Regions from separate parts of the Mus musculus genome. Here all the other regions are reported to be linked to region 1. Evidence: microRNA targets listed by miRTarBase, many of them from high-throughput screens and not tested one by one. Region 1 holds a microRNA gene; each other region holds the end of a gene's coding sequence.
Evidence for each region. Region 1 holds the annotated microRNA mmu-miR-10b-5p (UACCCUGUAGAACCGAAUUUGUG, at 4,976-4,998, shown strand). A microRNA usually pairs through its seed, bases 2 to 8, with sites in the 3' UTR of a target mRNA and lowers its output. Matches are read on the target gene's strand: a 7mer-m8 pairs with bases 2 to 8, a 7mer-A1 pairs with bases 2 to 7 and ends in A, and an 8mer does both.

Region 1 (7,118 bases):
AGGAGTTACAGAAGAGCCCACTCAGATGTGGGCCTTCAGGGACCCTTGAGCACTGAGCTAAATGACTTGGGCACACAGTGGGGTTGTGCACATCTGACTTCCTGGGCTCAGGTTCTTTGAGAGCCTCCTGTGCTTCCTCACACCCCGCACGCACCCGGCCCCTTCACACCAGGGCTGTTTTATTGCTTTATTGCTTTAAGGCTCTTCAGAGCCTTACTCGCCAGAGTCCGGTGGGGCCTGTTCTCCACTTTCTCACTTCACCAAACCTCAAGTCTTGCTGTTTTAAGCAGTTTGGTCACTTGCAAAGGCTTCTCTTTCAGATCTGAGCAAATTATAAAAACCCCTAGGCATGTGGCAATCTTCAACTTTCACCAAGCCCCATCCACAACAATACAGAGGACACTAAGTGTTAATCCCAGCTGCCTCCCCACCCCCAAGGCCACCCAGCCTCTCCCCTGGCCACTCTTCCCTATTGAATCAAGCAAAAAATCTCAAAAATAATTTCCAACTTTTGCGATAAGCAAGTAAGAAGTAGCCTTTGTCTTTCCTGCTTACCACATCGAATGCTAGAAAATGATTGAAATAAAGGCGGTGATGGTACTCACAGTGGATGCAGCCCAAGAGTCATAGGACAAGCCTACCAACCAGCCTTGTCCAAATAGCACTATCCCCCAATTTAAACAGCTTTCTCTGAAAAGATGCAAGTTGAAAAGCCCGGGGTATTGATATGAATATGACCTCTCTCGCATTCTGGATATTTGGAACTATTTAAATCCAAGGGAACAGTTGCAGTGAACCTTTATTTAGTGAATAAAAGTTTAAAGCCAAAGGTTATTTATGGTTCTGCAGAGCCGGGACCTGAGTGGCTATTTATAAGCACGTGATTCCAATAAACTTTGTTTTATGGCTTGAGAGTTGACAAGCCAAAATATAATTCCCACCATAAATTAGGTTAAGAGCATACAAGTGCAGATGCTTGGTTCCTGTAGCAGCGATAGGCAAGTGAGAGGCTCCAGCCAGCGCCCCGGGCTCAGGAGACAGCTCTCCTCTAAGCTTCTCTACCAACGAAAAGAAACCCAGTAAGTCACTCATTACTTTGTCCACAATAACTCTAGAGTTGTGGGGCAGGGGGTCTGAGCCCAGCCTTCTCTGCTTGGGGAAAGCCTATCTATTGAAGTTCATTTTAATTTTAGCCTAAGCCTAACTTAATAAATTGAATGGGGGGTCTTGGCATTTCCCTCTCCTGTGTATACCTGGAACGTTGGGAAGTGAGGGCCTTCTACCCCAAAAGCAGGACTTACACTTGCCTCTCAGTAGTGGAGCAACAACTTTAAAAGTGGAAGAAAGCAATGATGGGGGGTGGGGAGGAGAGGGGACCGGTGTGGAGATGAGTTACCTCTGAGGTAGTTCAGAGCGGGGTTTGCCCCCCCTTTTCTTTTTCTTTCTGTTCCTAGAAGACTAAAAACTTGAAGATGGACATGAGTGCCCTGGGAACCACTGTTCTCTTTGATCGGTCTGTAGGTTCTCCTGCAGGTATGTTTAAAAAATTAATGTCAAACAGATAGAATGAGATCATATTTTAGACCATGTCTGTAAGATCTAGATCATTTTCCTTTAAACACATCAATTTCCCTTTCTGGTTATCTTTTGGGTTCTCATTTCCCCTCGGAAGGAAATGACTGTTTTGAATTGGAGACATGGAAAAAAAAAAATATGTCCCTGCCTGCCATGCCTCCTCTTTGAGGAGAATGCAGGTTTGGACGCTGGGGTGGAATTAAAAACCAACCTGAAACTGGAAAAGGAGGTCTGAACTGTTTCCAGAGGGAGCAGAATTGGGGTCGGGACAAATAGAATGTCTGCAGGCTCTCACCAGTGGGCTCGCACCCACCCTCCCACACCAGAAGGAAATGCACAAAGGCCTATTTTCTGACTTCCCATTTCCCCCCTGGGGAAACCCTGCCTCAGGCAGTCTGAGTCAGGCCGTATAACTGGTTGGGTTTTGCCCAAGGGTGCGTGAAGTAGGGTAGGTGACCAGGACAGACTCCCATAGCCCTTAGCTCTGCCTTTGAGGATGCTATCAGAGGAAAACTTTGTGCAGTACCCGAAGGCGGTCACCAGAAGCAAGGAGTTCTAGGTATTGGTGGAATGTCTGGGCCTTGTCACGTTCTGCATGTCGCCTATGGATGCTTTATTGTCCTGTGAAATTTGAGAGACCCCACTTTCATTGCAACAGGTTTTGGAGCGTCAGGGAGAACGAGGGAGAACCACTGTAAGTACCTTCCCTTTTCTTCCGAGGAACGAAAGGGTAGTGCTAAGACTGGGAGGAGGTGGGCGGAAGGTCCGCGCCAGCGGTGATGGGAGGGTTAAGGAGTAGCGGAGTGGCGCTGCCTCCCCAGGCCAAAACGGACTCGCTTCGTGGAGGGATGGAAGCTCTAGGCTGACCCTTTAGGAAGTATTTCTGGGACCTAGTTCACAGTCACCTGCTCAAGTAAACGCACCGCAGGGGACCGCCCTTGTCTTCCCGGACCTCTCTGGACCATACAGGCCTTTGCCAGGCTTCTCTGGCTCGCACAGGTGCAGCAGACTTGCAGCTAATTAGCAGCCCACCCTATCAACGAACTGAACTACGGGCGGGCCAGCATCCACAACTGCTAGAATTGACCCAATCAACACCAAGGCAACGGGGGTCCCTCTCTGCTGTCCAGCCATTATTCTCTCTGCCCAGTCTATCTCAGCCTTCTCTTGCTGTATATAGGTTTTAATTTAAAATTTGATTTATTACAGACAAAAACAAACATATAACCCTTGATGGTCTTGGGTGTGTTGGATTGGCCTGTTTCCAGGAAGGGCTACAACTTCTGAGCTTATGTAGACATTCCTCTCCTGTCCCTTTCTGGGTCCTAGCTTCACTGGTGTGGGTCCCAGTTTGGGATACCCGGTGAACAAAAAGAGTACTTTCTCTTTCCCTCCGTTTCTCCTTAGCTGCAGTTGAAGAATTTCTACTCTACTCCAGAGTCCAGTGGAATTGGGTGGGATCAGAGGCAGGGACTCCAGTTCTTTGGCTCTGAAGTTTGAAGCTGAGAATGCTGGTGACATCTTCTGGGTGTCATTAGAAGGGTTGGCACTAGAAGGAGAGTCAAGGAAATAGTAGAGGCTTGCCACTCACTGCAAACCACAGGTAGTTTAATTTTAATGGAACAGTAGCAGATTGGTAAGGACCACAGGGACCAGGCATCCTCCCTCTCTTGTGAGATGTCTTCCCTTCCTGGTCAGAGAAGCTGAGACTGGGCTCAGGGCCAGGTTTCTTTGCTGGGCCCCTGGTGAGGCTGAGCTAACAGGGAAGTGAAGACCTTTACAGCTTGTAGTTCCTTCTATGAACCAGGCCTGCACACAGTGAACCAGGCTCCATGGTGAAAAATCTGGACTCCCCAGACTTTCTCTGGCCTTGCCCCTGCCCTCTTCCTTGGCACCCTTGGCTGTGAGGGCTCATCTCTGCTGAGGCTGCTTGCTTGCTGGCGCCTTGTAGCTGCCCACAGCACAAAAAGCCGGAGAGATCAAAAGCATTTGTATGGGCAGTTGAGAGGGAGGTGAATATTTAACGCTTTTGTTCATCAATAACTTGTTGGCTTTGACCTGTCTGAACAAGTCGAGCAATAAGGTGAAATGCAGGTCACAATGTCTAACAAATATGAAAATGTGTGTACTCATCTTGGTCCTCACTCAACCCATCGGACTTCCCCAATTTGTCTGGGTAAAACAGAGGTAGGCCCAGTGTCCCCAGAAAGGCCTGTCAACGTGTCCATGGGTGAAAGGGCTGGCATTAGGAGAAACTGGGGAGAGTCTTTAAACAAACGGATTTTAACCCCCTTTTTTTTTTTTAGAACTGACACCTGGGAAATCCCTGCAAAATAGTGGAAGTGAAAGATGGTGGGAGGGCATGGAAGGGCAAAGTACAGGGTCAAAGTGAGCACCTAATTTTGCCAGATATGATGAGGGGAGTCTCCCTGCCCCACCCCATCAAAATCAAGGCATGGGGCTTGAAAGTGATTTTTCGAATTATATAGGAAGGGATCAAAACAATACTTAGAAATGTGGACATCTTCAATCTGTTATCAGGCATCCATAAGCTCGGCCCAGGCCAGGGCATCCCTCTGCCCCTGAAATCAGCCCAGCCCCAGAGTGCATCTGGGCTCTTGATGCCCTGAATTGAGGGGCAAGCCCAGGACAGCGGAGGCGCTGGGGCGGCGAAATTCGCGAACTTTTGTACTCTTCTGTGCTGCTGTCGGCAAAGCAAAAATAATGAAACTTTGTGATATGTTTGTAAATGATTTCGAATGACCCCTCGCCCTGCCCTTCACCATTAGCTCGACAGTCTCAGCCCAGGGAGGCTCGGTGGCCGCAAACAGCGCCTGCCTCCGGGTCTGCAGCAGCAGTCATAGCAGCAGCAGAAGCAGCAGCAGCGGGATCCGAAAGTCCGGCGGGGCTGAGGGCCCAGAAAGGTAAATGCTCGAATTCTAGGAGGACTAGCTGTGACCACTCACTTGGCTTAGGTTCTGGTGAAGACTATTCCTTTTGCCTTTTTCAAAACTCCCTTTCTGCTGCTGAGGGCCTTTGCTTCTTTTTGGGAAATACCACTTGATAAGGGGGCGGGAGATTTGGGTTCTGAGAAGGGGCAATTAAGCCGCCATCTCTGGGGTGAAAAAAAAACTCCCCTTCTTTTCTTTTCTTTTTTTTTTTTTTAAGAAGAAGAAGGTCCTGGCTGCTCAGCTACTTGGTGGCCCCCATCCTGGCAAGCCGATGAGGGAACTCATTGCTGTAGCGAGCAGCAATACTTAGAAATGCACCGAGCCTACCTGCACCATCTCTGAAAGCCAGGCTTGGTGAGTTCCTGGTGGCTGTGCTGAAGAGATCAGGTCTGGCAGCTGCCTGAATGTCTGCTCTGGGTAGGACCCGAGGTTGTAACGTTGTCTATATATACCCTGTAGAACCGAATTTGTGTGGTACCCACATAGTCACAGATTCGATTCTAGGGGAATATATGGTCGATGCAAAAACTTCATATATCTCCGACATGGCCAGAGACTGAGGCGCGGAGAGTACTGGCAGCCCAGCCGGCAAGCCACCTCTTTCTTTTTCATTACCTTAGACTCCAGGATGATCGACTTTGCCTGGTGAAATTGTACAGCCTTTTCCTGGAGAAACTCCTATAGATATTCCAGTAGGTGCTCAAGTGGTTGTCTGAGTGTAAAGCCAGAGAGCCAGGTTTTAGGGTATTAGAGAGTGAGGTGAAAGGCCAGAAAGCTCCAGCAGAAGCCCTGCTCTGAAGGAGCATGAGACACAAAGGTACCCAAATGGGGCTCACCTGCCCTTGTGTGGGAAGAAGACAAACTGAAAGATAGGCCATCGGAGACCGTTGGGGTACATTTAGGCAAGGTTAAGGTCCCCCTCCCCACCATCCCAATATGACCCAACCCCTCAGCCACCAGACTCAGAACTGTGAGGGCCTCCTGCAGAAAGATCCAACTTCAACTAGAAACACCCCAGCCTGCGCATTGGCAGAAAAGCATAGTGGTTACTCATTGCCTAACTCAATTCAGGTCCGCCAGATTCTGGTAACTTTTGGGTGACCCTGATGAAGACAAAGCCAAGACAGGTCTTTGTATGTCAGAGTCCAGGACTCCTGCCAGCTGGCCGGGCAGCCTGCCTGCCTGCCTAGGACTCTACCCAACTCGGAGGCCACATTGCCCACACTCATTCTTCCTTATTTTGCACCCCAGTAGGAGAATTCACTCTTCTTTGAACTATGTCCATTCTGGGGGCTGCTTCAGGCGATGGTGAGTAAGGAGGGCATGGGAGGTTAGCAAAGTCAGTGGAAGACAAAAGCCGAGATTACCTGCCGGAAATTGGGACCCCGGGGATAGAATTAGAACTCTATTAGCATCTGTCAGGGACTCTCAAATGTGGCATGGCAAGTCACTTGATTACACGTATGTTATTTAGTTAAATTTGTGAAAATTATGAGATGCTCACCAACCCGGTGATAAACATGCTTTCTTCCTATTGGCTGGCCTGGTCACATGGCCGCCCAACTTTATTCAGTTGACAGCAAGTAGGAGGGCCCAATGGAAGGAGAAAAAAGACAACACGAGAAAAATTAGTATTTTCTACCTTCTGAAATTAATGGCCATGAGTTCGTATATGGTGAACTCTAAGTACGTGGACCCCAAGTTTCCTCCGTGCGAGGAATATTTGCAGGGTGGCTACCTAGGCGAGCAGGGAGCCGACTACTACGGCAGCGGTGCACAGGGCGCCGACTTCCAGCCCTCGGGGCTCTACCCACGGCCCGACTTCGGCGAGCAACCCTTCGGAGGCGGCGGGCCCGGGCCTGGCTCAGCGCTGCCCGCGAGGGGTCACGGACAGGAGCCGAGCGGCCCGGGAAGTCATTACGGTGCCCCGGGAGAGCGGTGCCCAGCGCCCCCGCCTGCGCCCCTGCCTGGCGCTCGGGCCTGCAGCCAGCCCACCGGCCCCAAGCAGCCGCCCCCCGGGACAGCACTCAAGCAGCCCGCTGTGGTCTACCCTTGGATGAAGAAGGTGCACGTGAATTCGGGTAAGGAGTGGGGGCAGCGACCTCACAGCCCTCCCGCACCACTCCTTGCATCTTTTGGCCTGCACCCCCCACCCCAGGGGTTGCGAATGGGTAGGGGCTTGTGCAGCTTCCTTGGGCGCCGCAATTACTCTCTCCATAAATTTTTATAGCTGAGGGAGCAGGCCGGGACCATGTGGCTGGCTGCTTGGCTGTGGGCGCAAAAGGGGGTGGGGATGGGGATGGGGTGGGGGGAGGACTCCATTTCCACAGCAGAGGGAACGCAGAGCAAAACAAGGACCTTTCCAAAATGTTGGCGATACCGAGCTCTTGGTGGGCCAGTGGCAAGGGAGAACCTTTGAGGAGGACCTGTGAGCGTGGGGAGTGTGTGCATGGAAGGGCTTGGGTGGGAGTGTGTGTATGTTTAGGGAGAGGGCGGGAGGGAGGAAGCTGGCCAGCTTGGAGCACAGGGGGGGCCCGAGGGCTGCGAGACGCGCCAGGAAGTGAGGGCAGAGGCAAGCCTGGGGCCTAACTA
Region 2 (7,118 bases), not on the chromosome of region 1:
CCAACCCATCTACCTACCCACCATCCAACCATCAATCCACCTGTCCATCTGTCTGTCTGTCCATCCAGCAGCTCACCACCCACCCCCAGCCCAGGCTCTCTCTTTGTCCCCAGGATTAGGGATGATGATCTTCGGCATCTGATTGCGGTTTCTGTGGTCTTATGGGCCGCTGCACTGACCAGCTGGATCAGTGACCGTGTACTTTGCAGCTTCTGGCAGCGGATTCACTTCTACTACCTGCACAGCATTTGGTAAAATACCCCTCTTGGATCCCAAGAACCCAAGTCAGAGTTCAGATGCACTCCAAGTAGAGAAGTGTCTGGGGTGCAAGAGTGGGAGAGGGACAAGATCCAGACCCTGGGATATAGAGGTGGTAGGGAGAGGTTACAACTGGCTGCCTGGATCTAAAGAGCCAAGTTAGCATCTGTGAGAACCTAAGAAGACTGGGTAGAGCTGGGGGCATCTCTCGATTTCTTACCCTGCCCTCTCTTAACCACAGGCACGTCCTCATAAGCATCACATTTCCTTATGGTATCGTGACCATGGCCCTGGTGGATGCAAAGTATGAGATGCCAGATAAAACCCTCAAAGTCCACTACTGGCCCCGGGACAGCTGGGTCATCGGGCTACCCTATGTGGAGATCCAGGAGAATGACAAGAACTGCTGAGCTCTGCTGTAGTCTCTGCTCTCTGGCCAGCCACCGAGTCTCCTGTGTACTGAGGATACAGGGCAGGACAAGGCTTTCAGTGGGCACACTTGCAGCACCCATCCCCCGGCCCATGCTCCTTGCCCTGCTCGTCAGCACAGGGTAGATTTACTTGTGGCTCAGGGTACTAGTTTGGTGACTGAGGGACAGGGGCTGCCTGGTGTGTGGGATGACTGGCCTGTGTCCACCTATGAGACCACAGCTTCTTCATGGCCACGGATGTGGTGAACAGATGGGTGTGTGGCTGATACAGCACCTGCCTGAAGCATAATGCTTGCTCTCTGTCAGCTCGCACATCTGGGACTGTTTATGAGTGTTATAGATTCAACTGGATCATGACTGTATTCTGGGAAACTGGGGAGTATCCAAAGAACATTCCAGGCCCCACCACCTACAGATAGATATTCGTATAGAGACCTCTTTGAACCACCACATGCACTCAGGGCAAAGTGTTGAACATGAGAGCCATGAATGAGGATAATAGAGGGCTAACCTGGGCAACATCATGGGGCACTTAGAGGATAGGGTATTGGGGAAAGGGTCTCCGTGATGGCTAAGGACACAGAGTTAGACATGCCAAAGCTTGATTTTCTGCTCCACAGTATTCAGCTTGCATAGCCCTGAGGGATGTGATGTTTCAAATGCTGTTTGTAAATAAAATGTCATTCCCTCCTGGGACTTCTGTTGATTAAAATTAGGTCACGTGTGAAGTATTTGGAATAGCCTTGAAAATATCCACCCACCCACTTATCAACCATTCACCATTTTAACAACCTATCCATCAACCCACCCATCCATTCATCCACCTGTCCATCCATCCATTCACCCGTCCATCCATCCATCCATCCATCCATCCATCCATCCATCCATCCACCCACCTTCTCTCCCTCTCTCTTTCCCCTCCTTCTTCCATCTACCTCCCTCCTTATATCCATCCATTCATTCCACCTCCCCCTTAATCCACCTACACAAATTAAAATTGCAAGTGTGGGTTGCTCAGATGGCTCTGATGGCTTGCAGTTCAATATGATGACCTGAATCTGAACCCCAGAATTTGCATGAGAAAGAGAATAGAAGGCAACTCCTACACATTGTCTTCTGACCTGCACACACATGCAGTAGCACACACAGTGTGGCAGGTGCATAGACCAAAGTTTGTTTGTTTGGTTGGTTGGTTTTGGTTTTTCGAGACAGGGTTTCTCTGTATAGCTCTGGCTGTCCTGGAACTCACTTTGTAGACCAGGCTGGCCTTGAACTCAGAAATCTGCCTGCCTCTGCCTCTCAAGTGCTGGGATTAAAGGCGTGTGCCACCACGCTCGGCAGACAAAGGTTTTTAACATGTAAAAAAATGCAAGTAAGGAGCTGGAGGCTCAGCAATTAAGAGCACTGGCAGCTCTTGTAGAGGACCCAGGTTTGAGTCCCAGAACTCATGTGGCAGTCCCAGGAGATCCAACCTCCTCTCCTGGCATCTATGGGTCCTCACAGACATGGTTCTCAGATACACATTCAGGCAAACATTCACATACATAAAATAAAATAACCCACAAATGAAGTATCCTGATCTTATTTTCAGTTCACTCCTCCTTACAAGATGCCACTCTCTTTGCCTGACAGCAGACATAGAGTCCCCTACCCACCCTCTGGCAGTGGTGACAGATGCTAACTGCACGAGCACTCAGAGACATTGATATATGGTCCGAAGAAGACATTGTTGGAAGGGCTAGTGTACAGGGTGACATAGGGGAGAAGCTTCCCTCGAAAATGGCAAGATGGGTGTGCCCTTCTTGGAAACAGTGAGTCCTCCAGTTCCTTGGCTGCATGGGACAACGGAAGAAAGACAGGCTAGCTGTCGCTGCCTGGGGCGGGATCTGAAGCAACAGGGAAGGGGTTTCACAGCTTGTCCGGGAAAGGAGGACACGAGGCAGTAGGTGTCTCTGTTCCAAGTTTAAAGACAGGGCGTTTCTGTTTAGCCCAGGCTGTCCCAGACCTCTCAGTCTTCCAGCCTCAACTTCCTGGGTACTGAGGTGACAAGCATGCTTTACCTTGCCTGGCCACTCACAGGTGGGTAGCATTCTACATCTCCATGTGATTGTGACATGTGTCACAATTTGTCTGGGCATGTCATCTAGCCCCCTGCATGAAGCACTTCAAACACACAAGAATACTTTCCTATCATAGATAAGGCTCAGAGGAGGTAAATGATTTACCCAAGAACACACAGCCTGGGCTTTGCGTCAGACCTATCCTTCCTGAGAGCTCTTTGGACCCCTTGAGGGGGGTGGAACCTGGGCCTCCTAGGTCCCTTCTGTCTATTTTCTTTCTTTCTTTCTTTCTTTCTTTCTTTCTTTCTTTCTTTCTTTCTTTCTCTCTTTCCTTCTTTCTTTCTTTCAAGATTTATTTATTTATTCTATATGAGTACACCTTAGCTGTCATTAGACACACCAAAAGAGGTCATCAGATCTCATTACAGGTGGTTGTGAGCCATCATGTGGTTGCTGGGATTTGAACTCGGGACCTCTGGAAGAGCAGTCAGTGCTCTTAACCACTGAACCATCTCTCCAGCTCCCTTCTGTCTATTTTCAAACCTAGATATTCTTCAGCTGTGTCCCCTGGATGGGTTCCAGTATTAAGAGATGGTGGTGGTACTGTGAACGTATGATTTTTTTGTTTTTGTTTGTTTGTTTTTGAAACAGGGGCTCTCTGTGTAGCATTGGCTGTCCTGGAACTCTCTCTGTAAACTAGGCTGGCCCCAAACTCACAGTGATCTACCTGCCTCAGCCTTCCCAGTGCTGGGATTAAAGGAATGTGCTATCGCTGCCAGCAAACTTGGGCCTGAGGGAAAGACGTCGTGTTTGATCCCCTAAAGTTAAGAATCTCACTCAAAGAGCTTCTGAGGTAGGGGATGTGAGGAACACCTGTACTGATGGTTCTATTTGTCTTTTCCCCACATACAATGTTCCTCTGCTATGAAATCGAAGGTTATCCCAGCACTCAGGAGACTGAGGCAGGAGGATCAGGAGTTCAAGGTCACACTCAGATACACAGTGAGTTCATAGCCAGCCTGGGCTACAGGAGCCTGTCTCAAAAAAAGGAAAGAAAGAAAGAAAGAAAGAAAGAAAGAAAGAAAGAAAGAAAGAAAGAAAGAAAGAAAGAAAGAAAGAAAGATGGAAGGAAGGAAGGACAAAAGGAAGGAAAAGAAGGAAGGAAGAAGAAAAGAGAGAAAGAAAGAAAAAAATAGAAATATCACCATGAAGCCATACATGCCTGACCAGGTGTGACCTGGGAGGCTGAGGCAATAGCCTAGGCTGGCCCAGAACTCACTATGTAGCACAGGCTAGCCTCAAAATTACAGCACCCTTTTTTTTTTTTTTTTTTTTTGAGACAGGGTTTCTCTGTGTAGCCCTGGCTCTCCTGGAACTCACTCTGTAGACCAGGCTGGCCTCGAACTCAGAAACCTGCCTGCCTCTGCCCCCCAAGTGCAGGGATTAAAGGCTTGTGCCACCACTGCCCAGCCACCCTTCTATCCTAACTTCTAGGGTTCTAGATGAATAGTCATGATTTACTATACACCACTTTTATTTATTTATTTATTTATTTATTCATTTTGCAAAACCATCTATAGCTCTTATGCAGAGGAATGTCCCAGTGAGCTCAGCATCAGGGTTAACCTGGGCCAGGTCTCTCATAGTGGGCCACTGGGCTCTTCTCCAGCTAGATCACACGTTCTCAGCATCAAAGGACCCTGTGGACATTTGTGACAGTCGGAAAACTGAGAGACACAAGAATACACTGGAGATCAGAAAGCAGGGTCTCAAAAATTCTCCTGAAGGACCATCTACAAGGTCAAATAAAAAAAAATTAAATGTGATAAACGGGGAGTCAGACTCTGAGGTGTGACCAAAAGTGACCAGTAGAGGGCGCTAGCAGCAGGCACATGCAGGGAGTCAGCAGGTCCTGCAGGTTAGTGTCCCAGGCTGGACCTCTAACCAGACTAACCTTTGCATCTAGTTTCACTATTTGGAAATTGGGGGCCATGTGGCAAGAAGATGTTGGACAGATCTGACAGGATTAGTTACATGTACTGGCTAGTTTTGTGTCAACTTGACACAGCTGGAGTTATCACAGAAAAAGGAACTTAAGTTGAGGAAATGCCTCCATGAGATCCAACTGTAAGGCATTTTCTCAGTTAGTAATCAAGGGGGAAAGACCCCTTGTGGGTGGGACCATCTCTGGGCTGGTAGTCTCCGTTCTATAAGAGAGCAGGCTGAGCAAGCCAGGGGAAGCAAGCCAGTAAAGAACATCCCTCCATGGCCTCTGCATCAGCTCCTGATCCCTGACCTGCTTGAGTTCCAGTCCTAACTTCTTTCAGTGATGAACAGTAATGTGGAAATGTAAGCTGAATAAACCCTTTCCTCCCCAACTGCTTCTTGGTCATGATGTTTGTGCAGGAATAGAAACCCTGACTAAGACATTACACCTGCACCAAACCCTCAAATGGCCTTTTGCTCTTCTGTCTCCTCCTCCCTATCTCTCTCTCCTCTCCTCCACTCCCCCTTTCCATCTTTCCTTCCTTCTGTTTGAAACAGGGTTTCAGGCTGTCCCTAAACTCTCCATGTAGCTGAGGATTACTTTGAACTCCTGATCTGGATGGCTCAACTCTTAGTTTTAGTATAGGAGGTCTGTTTCCTTGGGCCTGGCATGTTATGGGCTTCTTTTATCAAAGCATGTGGGTTACTTACACACACATACAACACACCACAGAATAACAGGTAAGCCATGTGGTGGTGATGTACCCTCTGATCTCAGCACTCCGGAGGCAAAGGCAAGTAGATCTCTATGAGTTTCAGGCTGTCCTGGGCTATACAGAGAATCCCTGTCTCATAAAAAAAAAGAATGATTTATTTATCTATCTTTTTTGTTTGTTTTTGATTTTTCAGAAGAAGAAGTTTCTTTGTGTAGCCTTGACTGTCTTGGAACTAACTCTCTTTGTAGACCAGGCTAGTCTTAAACTCAAAGATCTGCCGCCCTTTGCCTCCTGAGTGCTAGGGTTAAAGGTATGTGCCATCATGACTCATTTACTTATTAGTGTGTGTGTGTGTGTGTGTGTGTGTGTGTGTGTCCCACATGCATGCAAGTGTCATGGAAGCCAAAGAGGGTGTCAGATCCTGTGGAGGCTTTGACTGAGAATGGTTCCAGTGGGATCATCGTTTGAATTCTTGGTCTCCAGTTGGTAGATTGGGAAGGATTAGGAGGCATACTCGTGTTGAAAGAGGTGTGTTGTGGTGAGAATGTTGTTTTCTTTTAACAACGTGGAAATATAAAAATGGATTCATTTTAATCCCAGGTGTGGGATATGGGGTCACTTTAGATTGTCCACAGAAGCTGACTATGATTTGCCTCGTGCTCTAGCAAGGGCATGAATTTGCCATCTGCAGATAGTTTTTGCAAGTGTGTGACACTTGGAGTTCTGGGGATTGTTTGGCCAGTTGGTAGTTGGTTGTGGTTTGTTAAGTAGTGAAGAAACAAGAAGTATTAGATATTCTGACAACAAAGATCAAACTTGCCCCAAGGAACTTGACTCCCCTAATCAGCAGGAAGTAGTCTATAGATATCATCACCTTTCCCCACCTCTACCTTCTTTTTTCTCCTACCTAGCTTTAGGAGGTTGAAAGGGTGGAAGAAGAGGAGTAGTGAAGAATGTGGGGCACATGGACCATGCTACAAAAGGAACGGACGTGGTAAGGCAGAGCATGCTCAAATCTCAGAAATCTCAAAACTGGGACCGGCAAGAGTAGAACTAGCTCCCTGCCTGTTTTTGTGCTTGCCACAAAGCATGTAACCCAATGGCCCCCAACCAGGCAGTCACAGGTAAACAGCGGTGTAACCCAGGACCTGGACTGTCTCCCCATGCTAGTGAGCTATCTCAGTACCCAAGCTTTTAGGCAACGACATTTCCCTCCCTGGATATTCCCATACCCTCCACAAAATATATAACCCTTGGGTCCCTTCTGTAAAGAAAATGTATGCGTTCAGTACCACTCCTGAATAGAAAAATTCAAACAAGATAAGATTGTTTCTGAGAGCTGCTTCATTAAAGATCTTCAGAGAAGGCCTTCTGGAGGGAGGGGGCAGTCCCAACCAGAAAGGGATCCTGAAGTGGAAATTTAAAGGTTCTTTGGAAAGTCAGTTGTGTTGGATGGTGTTTTGCTGGGGCAGACAAGTGAAGTAATATTTCCCTGAAGCAGACACAGGTGAAAGGATATTTAGCTAAGCAAACACGTGAAAGGACACATGATATTAAGAAGGAACATAAATATAACCCGACAGATGGTGATGATGCTGGATGGTGTGGTACACCTTGCCATTCCTCATTGGTCATCGTTTGTTGAGACTCCAAAGAAAGAAATGCAC
Region 3 (7,118 bases), not on the chromosome of region 1:
GTCTTTACACATGTGTGTCTGGTATGGTTCTTTAAGGGGCCTTCATTGTGAAAAAGGAACACATGGTATGGATTTTACACTCCAATAAAATATAAGTGTAAAGAGAAAATCTTTAGTATGAACCTCCAGTGTCTGCTATTTGCTATTCTGGCCAGGATTCACACCTGCAGGGTTCACACTTTCAGGGTCCATGCTTGTTCTGTGGAAGACACTAAAAATGGGGCCAGTCCTCCACCCAAGACCTCACAACTCAGCAAATACACCTTGGCTTGGAAGCCTCACGGCCCAGGTCTCTTTGAGTTATCATTTTTGTTCAGTACAAATTCCACACCAGGAACTCTGATAAAGAGGATATCCTGACAATTAAAAAAAAAAATAGATGACTACAATACTATTGACATCGTGGAAAAGCTGCCAACAATCTTATGATTCATGTTTCAAAGGAGATATTCATAGATTTGGCTTTTGGCATAGTAATAGCAGGATTCTACTTCAGCATTGAACAAGCTGAGGAGTAACAGTGTTACAAGTTATGCTTGCAGTGGGAAGAAATGTATGGGGAGATGGCTGAGCCATTTAAGAAAAAGGCTAAGACCCCGTTAAGTTCAGAGAAGGCAGGTTCTGAAGGCAGGTTCTCAGCTTACGCTGAGGCTAAGGTACAAAGGAGTAGAGGGGACCCCTTCCTGGGCATCCATCCCAGGGGCTGCTGGTGCTCTGCCTTCCAGGACCCGGTTTTAAAACTTTCCACTTCACATTGTGATTCCCACTCAAACCTTGTTCTAGCCTTGTCTGTTCTCAGGAGAAATGTCTGTGTTCATGTCTGTGGTGGCTACCACCTCCAGAAGTCAGTGACAAGAACAAGAGATGGCCTGCAGGGGAACTGTGGTTTACCCAGGGTGAGAGCTAGCTTGGTTCTAGCCATTGCTGGGCAAATGGAATCTGTGGGCTTTTCAGGATGCTGTGGAGAGAGATCCTAGGATATAGTACATATGACATACAGTCGGTACTCATAGGCAAGCTGGTGGCCTGGCTTACTGAGGTAGCATGCTCTGTACAAGGGTGCCAGCTCCTTATCCCTGGATGTCCTGGGCACAACTGACATTCTGTTGCTCAGCTAGGAAAGGTATCCCTCTGAGGTCACCTCTTGCTTCCCACTGTCTGCCACCCCCAAGTTGGCCCAGCCCATTGTATCTGCTACTTCCTGACCATTATACATGGCGTCTGCTGGCTTCTTCTTGAAGTTCATTGCTCTCTATGCAGGACGGAGAATGCTTGGCTTATTAGCAAATTGTATGTTCTCTACATTCATGATGTGATGTGCTTCCCGGAAGTATAGAAGCAGAGGAATGTGGTCCTTAGGGCAAGGTAGACGACATTATGTAGGTTCTGATCCAGGTGTCACATTTGTAGAAGCAGATTTTGTTGGGATTGGATGGCAGGTTAAGGGCTAAGTAGAGGTGATTTGAACTGTCAGTCAGATTGGCCAGATATTCACCAATTTCACCTTTCCTTGTCTTGTTACGCAGAAAAACTACATTTCCCAGCCTCTCTTGTAGCTGGGGCCCACGTGACCAGGGTCAGGTTAATAGAGTATGAGTAATGAGGCTATCAAACACTTCCACCCTGGGCCATAATTGCATGTGGCATTCTTTTTACACTTCTCCTACCTTTGTAGATGGACAGGGGGAATCCCATGATTATGGAACTGCTACTGGAAAATCCTGGGGTGTCACTTTATGATGGCCAGATGATGCCTGGGAAATTGGAGTTCCTTCTTAGGGTTCTTAGTCTTATTGATAAAGTAATTTAAGAATGGACTCAAATGGGAGCCTGAGGATGATAGGAGCTTAAAAGGAAACTCCATGGCAGGACATCTGTAAATCTCAGCAGGCGCCCAGAGGGGAAAATGGACAAGACAAGGGGAAAATGAGTAAGGACGAAGCCAAAAGTACCAGGAGAGAAGTGCTTAGGTTCTGGTCAGCATCTGCAAGAAAGAGAGAGGGAAAAAAAGGAGAACGGGAAAGTTGTCTCTTTCTGAGACAGGACACAGAAGGGTGGGCGGAGCCAGTTGAACCTCAGGGCTGCTCTTACAGACGGTGCTATGAGACAGGAATTATAGGAAGGATAAAGTATGGTATTTCAGTAAATGGATAATTTTGTGGTCATCTTTTTAGCAAGGGTTAAGATGGGCACATCTTCCTAGGAGAGGTCCCATCTTCCTGAACTTGGCAGCTGAATTAGCTCTTCAGGGACGAGAGAGTGGAGCGTCTCAACCATTCTTTACAGTAACAGAATTGATCCGCAGGAGGATTTTGAATTGCTGTCATCACTTTCCAAACTCTGTGTGTGTGTGTGTGTGTGTGTGTGTGTGTGTGTGTGTGTGTGTGTGTGTGCATGTTTAAGTGTGGGTACGGACGCGCAAGTATAGAGAGCAGAAATTGGCACTGAATGCCTCCCCTAATGGTTCTCTGCTTCCTTTTTTGAGCAAGGGTCTTTCTCTGCACCTGGAGCTCACTGATTCAGTTAGACAGGCTGGCTGGAACCCCCCCGGGATCTGTCTCTACCTCTCCAGACCTGGCATTACAGGCATAAGCATCAGAGCCTGGCTGGGTTTTTGTTGTTGTTGTTTGTTTTTGAGGGGTGTTTTTTAGTTTGTTGTTATTTGAGACTCACTATGTAGCTCTGACTATCCTGGAATTACTATGTAGACCAGGTTGGCCTCAAACTCACAAAGATTCATCTGCCTCTGTCTCCTGAGTGTTGGCTTTCTTTATTTTTTCAAATGTGGGTTCTAGAAATTGAACTCAATTTCCATGCTTACACAGAAAGCACTTTCCCAATTAAGCCTTCATCTTAGACCCTTTTCATTGGACATCTTAGAAACGTAAAATAAACGTGTATCAGCCACTTATGTTTGTCATTTTCACTATGATTTGGGGCTAGGGATTGACCCCCGGGCTAACCATGAGATATTCCCTTGCCCCCCCCCCTTGTTTTACAGCATTGTGATGTGACTTGCTTGTTGCTCTAATTGAATCCAGTTTTGCTAATCTGAGTTGGAAGAATTATCATTGAGAAGTGTCTTCAAACAACAGTCCCCAGAGGGTTACATCACATCAGAGACAGCAGATAATAAAGTGATTCTTCATTGGGGTGCTTAGAATTTAAGATACCCCTGGAATGGCTTGTCTGCACAGTAGTGACTTAGTTGCCACTACTAGTGTCTGTGGAGAGACTGGACTGAGGGACCCAGACAAGGTTCTTTGCAGTGAGGAGTTTGGGTATTGTGACCTCTCTGGAATACTCCAGCACAGACAGCGAATATCTCATAGAGTGGTATTCCTAAGATAGCTGCTAACTGAGAGAGAATGGAATTGAGATCTTCCCATTCCCACCAGAGCCCTGGACACTGAGACCAGATGAATTCCAGGAATGGAGACTCCATCCCTAGATGCATAAAGCAGTTGGTTCAGCTTCTGGCTTTCTCTAGAACACAAGCTGGTGGGAAGCAGCAGATGGAGATGTGCTCTGTGCTGAGGCTCTCTCCTACTCTCTTCGGGCCAACCCACAGTCCTGTGTAAACAGGAAGATGAGTCCTTGTATTACTAAGCAACACTGGGGAGTAAAAAAGGAATTTTAATGGCTTCTGTCACCTTCAGTCCAAACCAGATGGACGTTTGCTCCCAGTCCTTCTCTTAGGAGAGAAAGCAGGATTAATCCTTAATAATATTCTTGCTTAGTCTGTTTGGAAGAAAGAGCTATTCTTCCATAACACTCCAAAACTCCAGGAGCCTGATCCATAGAGGGATTAAGTGGTCAAAATCAAATTTATGCTTCAATAGGATGTGGGCGATCCTTAGTGATAAACACGGAGTCTGATGCTGGTGAGAGGATGCCCCGGCAGACAGAGGTTGTCAACAAGCAAGGTGGGCGGCTGCAAGCAAAACCAGTTGGTTCTGGGGAAATGCCAGAGATGAGTGAAACAGGCTCTTCTTCTGGTCTGATGGGGGCTCACCCTTGCGGGGGGGGGGGGGGAGGGGTCAGGGGGGGTCGGGGTTGGGGAGATACTCAATATGCAGAGTCCCATGTGGTCAAAGACAGAGGGAGTCTTGTTCGCTAAACCACAGGGCTGGGTGTTGTCCTTAAAAGTCCCAGGGTGAATCTACAACACCACCTGCACAGATGCATCCAGGGTAGCTTTGCAACATGCTGCATGGATGTATGGGCTTTGCCATGCTGCACGGATTCATGGGCTTTGCCATGAGGCAGAAGAGAAAACTCTACTGTCCTTGTGGCTTGGGCTTAACCACTTGTTAGGCACTCAAATGCAACCCCCATCTTGCCCTTGGATCTTTCTATTTGGGGTCTTTCAAGGACACACCTGATCTTCCTGGTGTGGGTGGAGTCTCTGCCTATAAGGACTGCACACACTCTGCTATGATTGGCTACTTTGTTTTATTTGCTGACTGAAGTCACTACATAAACCCACCTCACAGTCCAACACAGGGATACTTGGCATAAGAGAGAAAACAATACAAAAATACAGCACTCCTTAGTAAGGGGAGCTGGGCTTAGCTTGCTCCAGTCCAAGCCAGTGAGAATCCAGAATTTCAGGTCAAACAGGGGAAATACTGTGGGATGAGGAGGCACAGAACACTTAGCTATCACCATTGGCCTGTAAGGACCGAGGCTGGGGAAGGTGTAGGTCTTTCTGGCATGCAGCCATCTCTGCCAACTCTCCTATACCAAAATGCAGCTTAAGCCAAACCTGTGGTCACGAGACATGATTGTGTGTGTGTGTGTGTGTGTGTGTGTGTGTGGTTAGTTCATTGCACTTAGGAACTCTGGGAAACTGTCACTGTCACACTCCTCTCAAAAGCTGCTGGATGCTCTATGGTGCATGGGGAGAAGGGTAGGAATTACTGACAACAGATACATGATCCTAGTTAGTATCAATGTCTTGGCATACAGTTGCCATGGACACCCTGCCATTTTTTTTATATTCTCCCTCTTTCTTCTCCCTTAGGCTCTCAGGTCTGACACTTAGACTAGACGGACACAAAAAGCTAATTAGGGCTGGGCAGTGGTGGCGCACGCCTTTAATCCTAACACTTGGGAGGCAGAGGCAGGCGGATTTCTGAGTTCGAAGCCAGCCTGGTCTACAGAGTGAGTTCCAAGACAGCCAGGGCTACACAGAGAAACCCTGTGTGCCAGGAACTTGGCTAAGGACGCAGTTTTAGGCCTAAGTCTTCTTATTAAGCTTTAGTACGATGTTTTGAGGGCCCCTGACATCTCTCCGGCATCCCTGGGGTTTCTTTGCCATCAGCCCTTGGGGGTGGGGCCCTGTTCCATAAGTTCTGTAAAGTGAGACGTGCCTGATGCTGGGGTTTCTTCCCTGACTGCCTCTCTGCTGTTATCCCTAGCCACCAACCCCGCCCCTGTTCTTCACCTTAACCAGTCCTCTGGCCTAGACTAGTTTAGAGGCAAGCTCAAATACTGATGGTGGCTATATAGCTTCCTGTGTCACACAAGACCATAGCACACTTGGGCTGGTATCGTCTGTGACAACAGGGGCACTGGAAGGCTTGGCAGGTGACCACGCAGGGTCCTACCCTCCTCTCCGCACCCCAGGCCTGCTGCTCTTTGCAAATCTCCTGGAAGTGACGATGCCGACTCCCTCCCATCTGCAGCCCAGGCGGCCACCAAGAACATGGGAGGAGACAGGGCTCATTCACACAGTCAGCAGTGCCCAGGCTCAGGACACGGAGCAGGTTTCCAGGGGCCAGAGGGACCTGGCTGTGGCCCAAACCATGGTTCCTTCCTGAGGAGAGAGGCACCCGTACATGGTAAAGTGGGAGACAGCCACCATGCAAGCTCCCGACCACAAGGCCTGTTGGTGAAAGCTCAGGGCCTAACTTAGCCTCATACACGTGACTCAAGCTAGGCCAACCCCACTGTGGAGGGCCCTCCCACTCCCAGTGAGCTAGGGGTCTGGAAGGCTGAGTGGAGCTTGGTTAACAATTCAGGTTCCTCGCCCTGGGCCCCACTTTTCCCAGAGGCCTCAGGGGCACCCAGAGGGTAGGCCTCCCTGGCCCTGCTTGTCCTAGAGCAGGTAAGGACAGCTAGGCAGGCTCCTCGGAGGCGGGCTAGGTCCCTGTGAGTGGTCTCACTGACAAAGCAGTACAGCACCGGGTCAGCTACACAGTTGAAGCTGGTGAGGAGGAGGGAGAAGTGATAGACGTTGAAGATGCTCTTGGCAAACTCACAGTTTCTCTCCCAGAGGCTGCGTACCAGCAGCAGCACGTGGTAGGGTAGAAAGCAAGCCAGGAAGATGACCACGGTGCTGAGCACCAGCCGCTGAATCTGGTCCTTGCGGCTCTTCTGTGTGCCGTGGCTGCGGCGCACAGCCCGCAGGATGCCCTGGTAGGAGGCCAGCAGCAGGCAGATGGGGAAGAGAAAGCCCACCAGGAAGCGGTAGTAGTTGATGCTACGCTGCCAGGCCTGGATAGGGTAATGCTCAAAGCAGACTCGGTGCTGGTCCTCGTCCTCAATGACCTCCTTGTGATTGAGGAAGTAGATGCTGGTCAGCAGCTCCTTGGCCCAGATGAGCACACTGACACCCACGGCTGCCTTCAGGGTGCGGAACTGGTGGAAGCGGAAGGGGTGGGCCACAGCCAGGTAGCGGTCGATGGAGATGCAGCAGAGGAAGCCCACGCTGATGTAAATGTTCTCATAGAGGAGGATGCCACACACCTGGCAGGATAGGTCACCATGGGACCAGTCGTCGTGCTGAAGCACGTACTGCAGCCAGAAGGGAAGTGAACAGATATAGAACAGGTCTGCAATGGTCAGGTTACACAGGTACACTCCCAGCTCATTCCGGGCCTTGATCTGCAAGTACCCGAAGTAGAGGGACAGGCAGTTGGCTGGGAAGCCCACCACCAGCACGGTCACATAGACCACTGGGGCTAGTGTCTGGTGGATGGTGTGGTCGATGGGGCAAGATAGTGAGGAGTTTTCTGTAGTGATGTTCCCCATCTTTGGGCCAGAAGGAGCCTTATTCCTCATGGGCTTGGAGATGGAGCCAATCCCTCTCTTGCCATCTTGTTTATAGAAGG

Region 2: the mRNA of Acer1 is a reported target of mmu-miR-10b-5p. Seed matches in the 3' UTR shown: 8mer at 805-812, 7mer-A1 at 828-834 and 7mer-m8 at 1,898-1,904.
Region 3: the mRNA of Gpr68 is a reported target of mmu-miR-10b-5p. Seed matches in the 3' UTR shown: 7mer-m8 at 5,201-5,207.

Annotation. Positions count from the first base shown.
Region 1 is chr2:74,721,099-74,728,216 of GRCm38, forward strand. It overlaps Mir10b (microRNA 10b), which reads left to right and starts at 4,972; the gene lies at 4,972-5,039. The region is part of intron 1 of Hoxd3 (homeobox D3); the gene reads left to right. Hoxd4 (homeobox D4) reads left to right here and starts at 880. Exons shown (of 6, transcript NM_010469.2): 1 at 880-1,079; 2 at 1,455-1,533; 3 at 2,234-2,269; 4 at 4,365-4,880; 5 at 5,778-6,607. The coding sequence starts at 6,181.
Region 2 is chr17:56,948,629-56,955,746 of GRCm38, reverse strand. Acer1 (alkaline ceramidase 1) reads left to right here. Exons shown (of 6, transcript NM_175731.4): 5 at 114-251; 6 at 500-2,257. The coding sequence ends at 668. Among named protein-coding and RNA genes, the nearest start is that of Mllt1, 17 kb to the right of the region's middle.
Region 3 is chr12:100,872,246-100,879,363 of GRCm38, forward strand. Gpr68 (G protein-coupled receptor 68) reads right to left here. Exons shown (of 3, transcript NM_001177674.2): 3 at 4,437-7,118. The coding sequence starts at 7,038. The coding sequence ends at 5,941. It overlaps Dglucy (D-glutamate cyclase), which reads left to right. Exons shown (of 13, transcript NM_145448.5): 13 at 1-365. Among named protein-coding and RNA genes, the nearest start is that of Gm36572, 18 kb to the right of the region's middle.